Mus musculus: one gene and its partner. The protein of the gene in region 1 interacts with the protein of each later gene in a biochemical or structural test. Links are inferred from orthologs where the notes say so. Each region holds a gene or a part of one and is shown in the gene's direction. Other genes may lie near its edges.

What was found.
Region 2: of the proteins of Klhl12 (region 1) and Drd4, one has a biochemical effect on the other in vitro, tested with the Homo sapiens proteins (2 studies listed by BioGRID, with this or other methods). The link is inferred for Mus musculus from reciprocal best matches to the Homo sapiens genes KLHL12 and DRD4.

Annotation. Positions count from the first base shown.
Region 1 is NC_000067.6:134,451,877-134,459,873, forward strand, and holds the start of Klhl12 (kelch-like protein 12), read left to right. Parts: upstream 1-3,654; 5' UTR 3,655-3,789; intron 3,790-6,551; exon of another isoform or gene 6,552-6,589; 5' UTR 6,590-6,595; coding exon 6,596-6,790; intron 6,791-7,997. UniProt on the Homo sapiens protein: Substrate-specific adapter of a BCR (BTB-CUL3-RBX1) E3 ubiquitin ligase complex that acts as a negative regulator of Wnt signaling pathway and ER-Golgi transport.
Region 2 is NC_000073.6:141,290,638-141,296,812, forward strand, and holds Drd4 (D(4) dopamine receptor), read left to right. Parts: upstream 1-1,380; 5' UTR 1,381-1,400; coding exon 1,401-1,676; intron 1,677-1,686; exon of another isoform or gene 1,687-2,769; intron 2,770-3,075; coding exon 3,076-3,188; intron 3,189-3,275; coding exon 3,276-3,847; intron 3,848-4,021; coding exon 4,022-4,224; 3' UTR 4,225-5,827; downstream 5,828-6,175. UniProt on the Homo sapiens protein: Dopamine receptor responsible for neuronal signaling in the mesolimbic system of the brain, an area of the brain that regulates emotion and complex behavior.

The DNA of each region.
Region 1 (7,997 bases):
CACAGTACTGGGCCTTCGACGTGTCTTGCTGACTGCTAATTAGACTATGTTTTCTTTGTCCCCACATACACACAAACAATTCATAGCTTTTCCATTGCAGAGTTAGCTCTATCATAGCCATCAAGATGTAACTGCACTCTTTCTGCTTTATCTCATATCGAGCTCCTTGTCTTTGGGGTAGTGTGAGTAGTCTCCTGTGTAGAATCTATTGTTAGCAGCCATCTTTACTTACATTTTAGTCTATTACAATCAGCAACATCAGAAATAAGAGTATATGAAAGGACAATAATGTCTTACATCTACTCCTCATGGGCTTTAGGAGGACTCAGTGGCTTCCCTTGACAGGCCCAGAGCCCTGTCCTTCTGGTTATGTTTAGCTTGCCTGCATCGTCCCAGCTACAAGCCTGTTTTTCATTTTCCTCTGTGCTCTGGGCTCTGCCAACATAATTCTTAAGCCTTTTTTTTTGTTTGTTTTTGTTTTGTTTTGTTTTGTTTTGAGACAGGGTTTCTCTGTATAGCCCTGGCCCTGGCTGTCCTGGAACTCACTTTGTAGACTAGGCTGGCCTCGAACTCAGAAATCCGCCTGCCTCTGCCTCCCAAGTGCTGGGATTAAAGGTGTGCACCACCACACCGGACCGACTCTTAATCTTTTAACACTAGCCTCTGCTTCTATGGCAATCTATGGGAACAATTTGTAGTTTTCACCAAGGGCCCGTTTCCCTAACAGAGGACAAGCTCCTGCATTCCATCAGAAGCATTAGTAACTAAAATAAATGGTTAAGACCCAAAGAAGGGCTGGCGAGATGGCTCAGCGGGTAAGAGCACTAACTGCTCTTCTGAAGGTCCTGAGTTCAAATCCCAGCAACCACATGGTGGCTCACAACCACCCATAATGAAATCTGATGTCCTCTTCTGGTGCATCTGAAGACAGCTACAGTGTACTTATTTATAATAATAAATAAATCTTTGGGCCAGAGAGAGCAGGGACTGAGGGAGTTGACTGGAGCGAGAGGGACCAATTTGAGCGAGCAGAGGTCCTAAAAAATTCATTTCCCAACAACCACATGAAGGCTCACAACCCTCTGTACAGCTACAGTGTACTCATATACATACATAAAATAAATAAAATCTTTTTTCCTCTGTATGTATTTTTTTTGAGACAAAGGTCTCTCCCACCCTAATCACCATGAGCATTCTCTTTCGCTACAACATTAGGATTTTTTTAAAAAACAAGAAACAAACAACCCCCCCCCAAAAAAAAACAAAAAACAAAACCAAAAACCAAGCTCTGTGTAGCTCTGGTGGCCCGAGCATTTTTCCCCAGCCTGCTTGTCAGTTTTCTTGGTAATTGTCATTCTATCTTGGATAAGCTACTGACAAAGGTCTTTCGAATGTACAGCCCAGTCACCTGGGAGGATCAAGTACCCTCAAATTCTTTCCTTTTTTCCTTCCCTTCCCTTCCCTTTTCCCCTTCCCTTCCCTTTTTCCCTTCCCTTCCCTTTTCCCCTTCCCTTCCCTTTTTCCCTTCCCTTCCCTTTTTCCCTTCCCTCCCCTTTTTCCCTTTCCTTTCCCTTTCCTTTCCCCTTCCTTTCCCCTCCTCCCCCTCTCTTTTGTTCTTTCTTCTTGTTTGAAGTAGGGTTTCTCTATGTAGCCCTGGCTATCCTGGAACTCACTCTGTAGACCAGGCTGGCCTCAAACTCAGCTATCTGCCTGTTTCTGCCTCTGGAATTAAAGGTATGCACCACCACTAACTGGTGAAAACCTTCCACCACACAACAACGAACTAATAGCTCCCCCCTCCCTTTTTTTTCCACAGTTAACACTGAGAAAAGAGCTTTTTACTGTTGACATTTTACAACTGGGTCTGGCTGGTCTGTTGCTCATTAAATAGGTCCAGGTTTGCCTCAAATCGCATCCTTCTGCTTCTTGAATGCTGGAAATACAAACCTTAGTTAGTATGCCTGGCCACAAAACTGTTTTTACATATTGTATCTTTCCACTTGGATCTGGTTGTTATCCAATACATCTATGTAGCAACTTTCTCCAAGTTTTCCTTGATACTTTTCTGTCTGCCTTCCTGTCTGTGCCTCCTCGCTGTCCTATTTTCTCCTTCCTTCCCTCATCTCACCCCTGGAATGCACACAACCTCCTCTTTAGGCCATTTTTCTCTCTTATGGCTCCAAGAATATCCATACGTGTGCAAGTACACTTTAACCTTTCTTGGTTTCAAACCACACTAATTCATATTTACTTGCTTAAAAGATGTACTCATATACATAAAATAAATAAAATCTTAAAAACAAAAACAAAGAAACTCTCAACCCTCTGACCTTCACCTGTCTTGGGCCTTTCACATGCCAGCCACATTTTCAGCTTTAGTTGTTATTGTTTTCTCCCCTTGAATTTGTTCTCTCCTGCTTTAGTCTCCCAAGTGTGGGTATGCACGTGTAATGTCTAGCTCTCACAGAAATTCTTAAAGAATTTGTGTGTTTTTCTGCTCATCAGGAAAGCATTTGCCTAGATGAAAGAAAAAGGGCAAAGATGTTACTAGGGGAAATGCATATATAAAAGCAGAAGTAGCCAGAGAAGACCAGGAGAACCAGTAGATATGTTTTGTAATTTTAAGATTTTATGTGCATAAATGGTTTGCCTACATGTATACATGAGCACCATGTATGTGCCTGGTGCCCAAGATCGTTAGCTTCTGTTCTAGCTACCTTAAGTTCATCTGCTGTAGTAGTTCTGGGTCCAGATTTGGTGGGGAAGCATTCCTGCCCTGAAGTCTGATGACTACACTACAAAACCTAGACAAAATAGATCTACATTGATCATTTTAACAACTATTTCCAGAGTGCCCTCAACATTTTCTATCAATTCTGCACTCTGTCCACCATATTTAAATGTCAGGAACAGTTTGGGATCAAGAAGCTATGACACGAAGAAAACACTATGTAAAACGAAGACGCTGCCCTCTTGACTACACTTTACTATCCCTAAGAACCAAACGCCGTGCAAAGGAAAACTGGATAATCCAATTAGTCATTCATCTATACTGGAACAAGAAACATCTTTCCCTTCTCAGCCAAAGGCAAAAAGTCAAAATCAACGAAAAGCAAACGTCCTAAGAACCGCAGCACTAATGAACGACCATGGTGAGTCAGAGGAGAGGAGATGGCTGTGGCGTCTTCTTTGAGAAGGGTCTTTGCAGTTTCCCCTACTGCGACCCATTTCTGGTGGCTCAGTCAATCCACAAGTTCCTTTTCCTTGGAGTGAAGGAAGCAATCGCCTCATGGTGACAGGCACATTTAGGACCCTGTGGTTATCCGGGATGGGAAAGTCCTCCCTATGGTGAAGCGGAGCCTGATTCTTCAGAAACCGACCTAGAGAACTCTGAAACCCCGTGGGTCTCCCGAGTGTGGCAGGAACGCAGCCTAGCGCCTGCCATACCGCGTGGGGACCGCCAGTCTTGGGTCCTTCTGGCCTCCAGCGCACTGTCACACGCGGCACTCCCCACCCACCCGTCTACCCACTCTCAGGTCTCTTTTTCTGAGCTCTCAGGTAAGCAGGACTTCTTGGCTCGGCCTCCTAAGGTGACGTAACCCAGGAGAGGCCCGCCCCTCCCGTGGCGTGACGTCATCATGCCGCGCGGTCGCCGTACTCCGAGACTGGAGTTTACCACGGAGACTGCTCCGCAGCGGCTGGTCCGGGCGGCAGCGGCGGCGCTCCGGCTGCTCAGCCGCCTGGGAGCCCGGCGCCTAGCACCTCGGCTCGGACGGCCCAGGAGCCCTGGTGAGTGAGCGCGGCCCTGACACACGGCCTTTCCCTCTGCCCTCAGCCGGGGGCGCGGCCTTCCCCCAACCCGGGTACCCCCCCCAGCCCGGGTCGGTAGGAGATGAGCTGGGGCGCTGCAGGCATAGCGCTGCCTTCTCGGCTTCTCCGGAGCAGCTGCCGCCTGCCCCGGGAGAAGGTTTAACCTGGGAGGAAAGAATTCAGCTGAGAAACAGTAAGGGGACGTTTATTTAGTAAAGCTACACACTCCAAAGATTGGAGTGGGCTTCCTCCGAAGGTAGGCAGTAGCGCATTGGGGTTTTAAAGAAGTTTCTTAAGAATATTAGTGAGGTGTAAGGTATATTCATGCATGAAGGTAAGATAATTCCCTTTCCCTCCCAAATTATAGTGGTCTTCACCTCCTCTTGTAAGGCATTTATCCCCAGCAATCTTGAAAAAAAAAAAAAAAAGCAAGGTATGGGGTGGGAGATTTGGAAACTCCAACACATTGTAATGAAGCCAGTGCCTTTTGAGAATGCAGACCCTTTAACGCGGTTTTGGCAATTTGTTAAGTATCGTTTGCCTTGGTGGAACATCCCAAATACAGTTTTACAGATTTTGACCATGGGAACCTTAGTGTAGTCCCTGCTTAACCGGGAGACACAGCTACCAAGATACTGTTGCAGCTTCCATGATTACCGCATATCTAACTCCTTGCCTACCTAGGTCTCCCTAATACTTGATGGTAAGCTTGGTGTTCTTAGGGGAGAACTCCTTTCTCTCTCTCTCTCTCTCTCTCTCTCTCTCTCTCTCTCTCTCTCTCTCTCTCTCTCTCTCATTGCCTTTTTTCTTCCTTCTAGAATGATTTAGAATGGAACCCCTCTATTTACATATTAGCTGTTCTAGAATGTGTAGTTTTTGAATGGTGAATATATGGTCAGGCTTTGTGCTAGGAGGAAAGTTGCAGCCCTGAGGTTACTGTCATTTATGAAACAAATCTTAAAGTTTAATCACAGGCTGGGCCTTGTGCTAGAACACTAGGAAATCTTCATAATCTTCAGCTCCTGAGAATTCAGCAAATCCCCAGTTTCTTGCATCTCATAGTTTGAAACTATGTTAGCTTAAGCAAACCTTTTAAAAACAAAAAGCATTTACTTTAGCAAGTTGTCTCAGTTTTTGGTTAAATACATGTTGCAGAGTTTGGGGGGGGGGGGGAGTGTCCAGAGTCCTTTTGAAGGAGCTACTGAACAAAAGATGACAATGTAGAATCTCAGTTTTAATCTTAGGAAATTAGGATTGTAGACTTTAGATGAATAGTTTCTTTTTTCTTTGGTTCATTTTAGAAAGTTTTGCATCCTCAAAGGACAGTTTTCATAAGCACCTTCATTGCATCCCCTAGAAAGTGTTCTGAGGAGGAAAATCCCAGGGAGAATCTGAGGCAGGTGGATCTCTGTGAGTTCAAGGCCAGCCCAGTCTACAGAGTAAGATTCAGGATAGCTGGGGCTACCCAGAGAAACCTTGTCTCAAAAAAAAAAAACAAAAACAAAAACAAAACAAAACATAGATACCAAAATCTGAGTGTGCTGGTCTTCTTTGTTTACTTTGTTTCTTTGAAACAAAAGTCTCTTTATGGAGCCCTGGCTGGCCTGGAGCTCATTATGTAGACCAGGGTGAGCTCCAACTTGCAGAAATCTACCTTTGTCTCCTGAATGCTTGGCTTGCATATACCACCACACCTGGCTCTGAAGTCATGTAGAGTTAAATGCATAGTATTTGCATATACCACTTACATACCCTATCAAGACAAGTTCTGGATTACTTATCACATCTAAAACAGTACAGTTATTTACTGTATTTGTGTTGGCTAGTTTTATATCTGTGACAAAAGCTATGGTCATCTGAGAGGAGAGAGCCTTGATTAAGATAATGCCTGCAGAAGATTGGGCTGCAAGCAGTTAAGCTGGTAGGGCATTTTTTAAATTAGTGATTGGTCGGGAGGGGCTTCTCTCACTGTGCCATTCATGGACTGCAGGCCTCTGTAAGAAAGTAGACTGAGCTAGCTGATTGGTGGTGATGCACACCTTTAGCCCCAGCTCTTGGAAGGCAAAGGGAATCAGATCTCTGTTCCAAGCCAGCCTGGTCTACAGAGTAAGTTCCAGGACAGCCAGGACTACACAGAGAAACCCTGTCTCAAAAAGAAAAAAACCAAAATCAAAACAAAGAAAAGAAAGTAGAAAGGAAGGAAGGAAGAAAAGAAAGAAAAGGAAATTGAGCAAGAGAGAGAGAGAAGGAAATTGAGCAAGCCATGAGGAGCAAGTCAGTAAGCTACCCTGACCCTGTAGCATCATCCCTACCTTATCTCCTGGAATATTAGTTCCCATCTCTGTTCCAGTCACTAGACTGTGACTCAGGATATGTAAGACAAATAACCCTTTCCTCCCAGGTTGCTTTTTGGTCACGATGTTTTATCACAGCGTAATAACGCTAAGATAGTATTCACTAGGAAAAATGATAAAAATCTGCACATGTTCAAAATCAGTTCTTTAGTTTTTAATATTTTGCTCTTTACTGGGTTGAATCCAAAGATATAGAATGTTAAGTTTGGAGAAAGAAGAGGTAACCTTTACTGGGGTCGGTGTTGGCCAGATTGTGGTGGTGCCAGGGTCAAAAGTGCTCTGTATTTGTGGAAGTTGTGGTTAAGGAACCCTTTTAGTTCCTGAATTTGTAGAACTAATTGTGTGTTTGGTTTCCCACTTCTTCATTATGATCTTTTTCCCTTGTAGCCACATTGTCCAAGGACTCCTTTGTTCTTTCTCCTTAGTGCTTGATGGGCGGCATTATGGCCCCTAAAGACATAATGACAAACACTCACGCTAAGTCCATCCTCAACTCCATGAACTCCCTCAGGAAGAGCAACACCCTCTGTGATGTGACCTTGAGAGTGGAGCAGAAAGACTTCCCTGCGCATCGGATTGTGCTGGCCGCCTGCAGTGATTATTTCTGTGCCATGTTCACTAGTGAGGTAAATGCAAGTCACTGCTACCTAAGTGAAATTCGCATTGTAACCTTGCAGTCCTCTTATTTCAAGGGACAAAATAGCATGTGTTGGTGATTCAGCTATGGCATTTGTCAGCCAATTGGTCACCATGGTTAATCTTGCTGTCACTGTCACGTGTGTCTTCTGAAGGGGCTGCTCAATCAATGGGGATTTTTTTCCAACACACAGTCAAAAGTCAAAAGTATTGGGGGGGGGCGTGTCTTCCCTGTTAGAACTTCCAAACAAATGCTTAGTAAATAAAATAGAAATTTGAAACCAGATATAGTTGCTCACATTTAACAGTCCTGACAGTGGGAAGATCACCATAAATTTGAGGCCAGTCTGGGCTACAGAATAACACCCACCTGAAACCACTCAACAAGGAAGGAAAAAAAAAAAAAGTCTGGTAAACCAGTGAATCTGTATAATGTGGTAGTCAAATAGGTAAGCTCTGAATAAGACATGTGATGGCTTTCTCCTTCAGATCATCAATAATTGCTGGGCGGTGGTGGCGCACGCCTTTAATCCCAGCACTTGGGAGGCAGAGGCAGTCGGATTTCTGAGTTCGAGGCCAGCCTCGTCTACAAAGTGAGTTCCAGGACAGCCAGGGCTACACAGAGAAACCCTGTCTCGAAAACAGAAACAAAAACAAAAAAGAATTTTGGGGACTGGAGAAATGGCTCAGAGGTTAAGAGCACTGACTGCTCTTTCAAAGGTCCTGAGTTCAATTCCCAGCAACCACATGATGGCTCACAACCATCTGTAATGGGATCTGATGCCCTCTTCTGGTGTGTCTGAAGCAACAGGGTACTTATATACATAAAATAAATAAATATATCTTTAAAAAAATCATCAATAATTATAGAAAATGAGTATGCTACTGATACAGATTTCAGGGTGACTTCCAATGAGGGGAGAGGGGATTTAATGAATGGCTGTGTGGTGTTAACTTAGCCTGGTGAGATAGCACGTGGCTGTAATGCCAGCAGTGGGGAAGTGGAGTTCAAGGCTGGCCTCCTGGTGAGACCCTGTCTCACCCAAACAAGGGTAGGGGATGTAGCTCAGTTGGTCTGATGATTACCTAATATACACAAAGCCACGAGATTAAGACCATCCTTGCCTACATACAGAGTTTTAGGCTATTTGGAACTATATGAGATGTTTTCTCCAAAACCAAAATTACTTTGAGAGA
Region 2 (6,175 bases), on another chromosome or scaffold:
AAGGGATCTCTCCCACCTCCCCTCTCTCTTTCTTTTCCTCCCATCTAGTGATAGGGGGTGTAACAGGGGGAGGGGAGATAAAGGGTGGGAGAGAGAAGAACCCACAAAGTAGCAAATACCAACTACAGTCTACCTCCACTTGAAGATAGCCCTTTAGTCACAGGACTCCAGGTAATCTCTCTCAGCATTAGTAAGCCCATATACAAAAATTCTTTCATCAGCATAGTCCCCAGGTACTTTCACTGCAAGGGCTCCCAATCTTCCAGGGACTGTCCTTGCTGCTGTCTCTTCTCCTGTCCTGATTCTACAGTGTCCTCTCAACCTGTGCTGTCCTGTTCCAGCCTAGGTTCCTGTGCTGGCACAGAGAAAAGTATGGCCTCCAGATGTGGCTTGGGAAAAGAGCCCCCATGTGAGAGTTCTCTCAGCTCAGAGAGTCCTTGTCAGGTAACCCTGGTAGTCAGCGTGCCATACAGTATCAAATGCAAGGAAGCTGAGGGTCAAGATAGGAAGTGGGGTAACCACTCAGCGGCCCACAGAGGATGGTTAAGGCTTAAGGCTGAACCAGACATGGTGGTCCACACTCTTTAATTCCAGCACTCCGGAGACAGAGGGGAGGCCGAAGGATCTGAGTTCAGTGCTAGCCTGCTGTACAGAATAAGTTCTAGGACATACGCAGGGAAACCCTGCCTTGAAAAGTCAACAACAACAATAATAAAATTAATAATAATATATTAGATAAAAAGTTAAGACTGGGCCTTGGAGGTGCCAATTATCAATTTCACCATGGTCCGCTTAAGCACTGACTGATGGAGACTTGGGAAGAGAGATGGTGAGAAAAGTAGGGCCAGCCAAGGCCTGGATCCCAAGAGTTGCTGCACATCTGCCCACAGAGAATGAGCTTGGTGTGCTGCTCAGTATTGCTAAGCCCAGAACCGTTAGTGAAAGAGGCGAGGAGCCTTTAACCTGTTCCAGAACCAGAGCTGATGGTTTCCCACGTGGGAAGGACCCCAGTGCAGGAGTATAGATAGGTTCTCCACATCCTCCAAGGTATCTTGGAGAGCCGCTTTTGACAGGTAATTTAGTGGCCTGTCTCCTGGCCAGGATGGGATGGCTGGCTCTGACGAATCTGGTCCAGACAACCTGCTTTTCTACCTAGGTTTCTGGAAGCACAAACTAGCCCCGATGAGGGGACACATCAGCCGCTGCTTAGCCTTTTTATGCCAGTCACTTCGCTCATTTCTCTTGAATTGAAGCATTTCTCCCTCTGCCAATTTCCTAGAGTTCAGAAATTCAAGCCGGGGCGGGGCGGGGCTGGACGCGCTGGGGGCGGGATTCCGGGTAGCCCCTGCCTGCAAATCCCCAGGCTCAGCGCCTCCCGGAGCGGGTTCAGCAGTGGCACCATGGGGAACAGCAGCGCTACTGAGGACGGTGGGCTGTTGGCCGGGCGTGGGCCAGAATCCCTGGGGACTGGCGCCGGGCTTGGGGGCGCGGGCGCGGCGGCGCTGGTGGGGGGCGTGCTGCTCATCGGCTTGGTGTTGGCAGGGAACTCGCTCGTGTGCGTGAGCGTGGCCTCCGAGCGCACGCTGCAGACACCCACCAACTACTTCATCGTGAGCCTGGCTGCTGCCGACCTCCTCCTCGCGGTGCTGGTGCTGCCTCTCTTTGTCTACTCCGAGGTGAGCCTCGGTGCGCTCTTCCCCTACCTCCACTGCTCCCAGCCCCCCAGCCCCAGCGCAGTTTCGCGCTTGGACCCTCAGCCACCTTGAGCCAGGGTGTTTGCAGGGACGTCAGGTCTCCTCACTCCTGACTATCCACTCTCTCCCGCTCTTCAGAATCTTTCGCCTACTTTTCCTCTTGTCCGTCACCCTACCATCCTCTGGATTCCTTCCTACTCTGTCTGAGAGCTACCTACCCAGAGAGGACTCGTGTCCCTAAAACCAAGAATCGCAGAAAATTGTCCTTCCTATTTAAGCCCTGGCTTCCACTGCAGAAATGCTGCATCCCCCAGCCTGTGGCAAAAAACAGCTAGCTAGACAGGCGAAAGTGCAGACACGCAGCATCAGCATCACTACCGATGACTACTGCCTTTTGGGAACACACACACACACACACACACACACACACACACACACACACACACACCCCAGCCTGTGCCAGCTCACTCTCACCCTTCGGAAGAAGCCCAAAGCCTGCAGCCACCCAGCTCCCAGGAGCTCGGAGCAGCAAAGGGTGAAGGCAGAGAGGCCTGGGCAGGATACTGAACCTGAGGGGCCGCTAAAGGGAGTGGGTTCAGGACCTTTTGGAGACTCCTGGAACACAGACACCCCAGATCAGGTCTGGCTCGTAGGTGGGTCTGCTGTGGTTACTGGCAATTCTTATCTGCCCACGGTTTGGGCAGGGTGGGGTGGGGTGAATGGTATTTCTAAAGAAGACCCTGAGTTCTGGAGCTGGAGCAGAGGCCAGTGGCCACACTTGACCCCAGGTCCTCCCCAAGGCACAGACGTCACTGTGATGATTCTTAAGCTCATAATCATCCCAAATCAGTGTGAAGGGATTTGGGGACGGCTGGTTTGAGACGGCTGTGTGCTCCTTTGCCCTTGAAAAAGAACACTCCGTGCAGCAGATTCACAGACAGCCCGGCGAGGTCTTTGTATTTTTAGGACACATTTGTCCTCAGGACAATTGCCATGTGTCCAGCAAGTGAAGAGACCTATCCAAAGCCCCACAGCAGTGACAGTTCATGCAGGGAGGATAACTCGAGTCTTGGAGGTGGGTAGGATTTGTGTTTAGGGGGCCAGGCTTAAGAATTTAGGGCCTCCTCTCCCCTAGATGTTATCAACCCCCCTGGGTCTTACCCAAGCTTCTCACATAACCAAAGAAGACCTAAGTCAAGAGGCAGGTCTGTTTGCACGTTCTGTCTCCAACACATGTCTCAGGCTCACATCGGGCTTGTATGCCCCCTTCCCTCTAATACACAGCCCTCGATTCCCCTCAACAAGAGTGGGGGTCAGCAAGTCCGCGGCTCAAAGGTCAGGCAGGTCTTGTGTTTCATTTCTGCAAACTCTGCGTGGCCAGGTCCAGGGTGGCGTGTGGCTCCTGAGCCCCCGTCTCTGTGACACGCTCATGGCCATGGACGTCATGCTGTGCACCGCCTCCATCTTCAACCTGTGCGCCATCAGCGTGGACAGGTGGGTACCCCGGACGACCCCTCTCCCAGTCCCACCTCCGGGTTAGCCGCCCCACTCGGCAGCTTCACCGCTCCTGTGCTCCTCTAGGTTCGTGGCCGTGACCGTGCCGCTGCGCTACAACCAGCAGGGTCAGTGCCAGCTGCTGCTCATCGCCGCCACGTGGCTGCTGTCCGCCGCGGTGGCTTCGCCAGTGGTGTGTGGCCTCAATGATGTGCCCGGCCGCGATCCGGCCGTGTGCTGCCTGGAGAACCGAGACTATGTGGTCTACTCGTCCGTCTGCTCCTTCTTCCTGCCCTGTCCGCTCATGCTACTGCTTTACTGGGCCACTTTCCGCGGCCTGCGGCGCTGGGAGGCAGCCCGGCACACCAAACTTCACAGCCGCGCGCCGCGCCGACCCAGCGGCCCCGGCCCGCCGGTGTCGGACCCTACTCAGGGTCCCTTCTTCCCAGACTGCCCACCTCCCTTACCCAGCCTCCGGACGAGCCCCAGCGACTCCAGCAGGCCGGAGTCAGAGCTCTCTCAGAGACCCTGCAGCCCCGGGTGTCTGCTCGCTGATGCAGCTCTCCCGCAACCTCCTGAGCCGTCTTCCCGCAGAAGGAGAGGCGCCAAGATCACGGGAAGGGAGCGCAAGGCAATGAGAGTCCTGCCGGTGGTAGTCGGTGGGTTCCTGTCCTGGGACAAGAGTTGATAGAGGGAGGGAGGGAGGGAGGGAGGGGTCCCGGGAGCTGAGGCCGGGGACAGGGGGAGGGTCCAGGTTGGAAGGGTGAAAAGTGGGGGGTCCTGGGTGAGGGACCTGGAGTGCGGGTGTACAGGCTCACGCCGCCCATCCCCAGGGGCCTTCCTGGTGTGTTGGACGCCTTTCTTCGTGGTGCACATCACGCGGGCGCTGTGTCCGGCTTGCTTCGTGTCTCCGCGCCTGGTCAGTGCCGTCACCTGGCTAGGCTATGTCAACAGTGCCCTCAACCCCATCATCTACACCATCTTCAACGCGGAGTTTCGAAGTGTCTTCCGCAAGACTCTCCGTCTCCGCTGCTGAAAGGATGTCCTGCAGAGGTCAAGGAGTTCCAAGACTGTGTGCAGAGTGCGCTGGCGCGCATTCTTTCAGTCTGATTAAACGAAATCTTTTCTAACCACTTATGAAGGCTGGGGGTTGGGAAAAAGAAAAGAAAAGAGGAAGCTCTTTTGTCTGGATGATGCCCCCCCCCGCCCCTGCCCCAGTTAACTTCTGTCTTTGAGGATGCTCAGTTCAGCTCCAGGAGGCAGGAGGCTTCTGAAGTCTCTGCCCCAGAAAAGTAGGGGAACTACTACATCTGCCTTAGTTTCCCCTCACTATGAAAAGTGACCAAGTGTCCTAGAAGAGGAGCTAGAGGAATTTCCTGAGGCTGCTGGGTCCTCAGGATCCTATCCAGGCCAACTCTTGCTCCTTGGAGAGCTAGGGAGGGAGGGCTCTGCTGTCATTGAAGGGGTGGTGGGTATCCTATTTTGGAAACTTTCTGAGTACAGCACACATAGCTTTCTACCAGCCTTTCTCCAAAAGGTGCCTGAAACTCAGCACTGACCAAGTTCCTCAAGGTGCCCTCTGGAAGGGAGCCCTCCACTCAGACCCACCCAGTCTGCCTTTATTTACCCTATGTATGTCCAGCATCTGGGTATCTATGTGACCAGGCGGCAAGGTTCAAGGCTGGACTAAGGGGCCCAAGCAGCCAAGGTGTTGGGGCTCCTTGGCCAAGGCCCAGTCCTACAAGAAGAGGTGATTCCTGATAGGGACTGCCTACCCTAACACTTTTCCCTCCCCCGTCCTGTTATGGGAGAGATGTGACTCAGGGCTGCTGTGGGCAGGAGTGCAGGGGGTCTGTGGGGGGGTGGTCCTAGGCTGGGGTCCCACATCAAAGGCAGCTGGCACAATGTGTCACACTCTGTTCTCAATATTGAGGAATAATGAGCTGTGAGTGCTACAGTAGTAGCACCCCCCCCCCCACACACACACATTTTATACTAGCTCTGGTTGAACAGGGACAATTCCCCAGCACAGAGGGAAATTGCCATAAGGCCTCACTGGGCTCTAGATGCTCATGCCCCTGCTGTGTCATCTGTTGACCTTCCAGGACCAGCATGCTCCTAAGGGGCCAATGGGGTCTTGGGTTCATGTCTGTCCACATAGAGTCTAGTATTAGTGGAACTGAGGCTCCCTTAAGTTTTGCCCCTGGAGACCCTAGGATACCAAATGTGCCTGGCCTTTGCTGATTTCCACTGAACTGAAAGGCTCTACAGATACAAAGGTAAGGTTGAAACTCATGTGAGGGGGACAGAAGTCTCTGGAAGCTTGGGAAACTAAGCCCCAAGGGCCCATGCCCCTAGACCTTTTGAGTTTCTTCCTTAGAGGAAAGGGAAACAATAAATTGGATGAATTCCAGGTGGCATGTGTCACTCATCCATTGCTCTTGGGTGGTCACTACCCCAAAACCCATCTTGGTGTTCTGGGGCCCTCATTTGGTGACACTCCTTGGGGGTAGATGCCATGGATGCCCCTGCAGGCTGTCCCATAGGGTTGGGCATTTCCTTGATGACTTTGCCATTTTGGTCTTGTTTTCCTGCCACTGTTAGTATTAAACTGAGCTGTATAATCTCAGCTAACTGCATGCATGGTCTGGGTGGCTAGTTACAGCTGAGGGCTTCTCTGCCACCAGAAAACAACGGCAAGGCTCCTCTTGCTCAAAGGGTTGGAGAGGCCCAAGGCTTGATTCCAATTAAATAGGATGGTCACGGAGACCTTATTCAGTAGAAAGGCCTCAGGTGCCCGACTCCCTTTTAAGGCAGGGACCCCACAGTCTTGGCATCTTCTTACTCACATGCATGCCCCTCCCTCAGCTACCCTTGTGATTCACCTTCAGGGAATCTCAGGGCTGGGTGCAGGACCTTCTGGCAGAAGGAAGAACGGTTCTCTGCCCAGTGTGGGGTTAGCCATAATTTCTTACACATACCAGAGT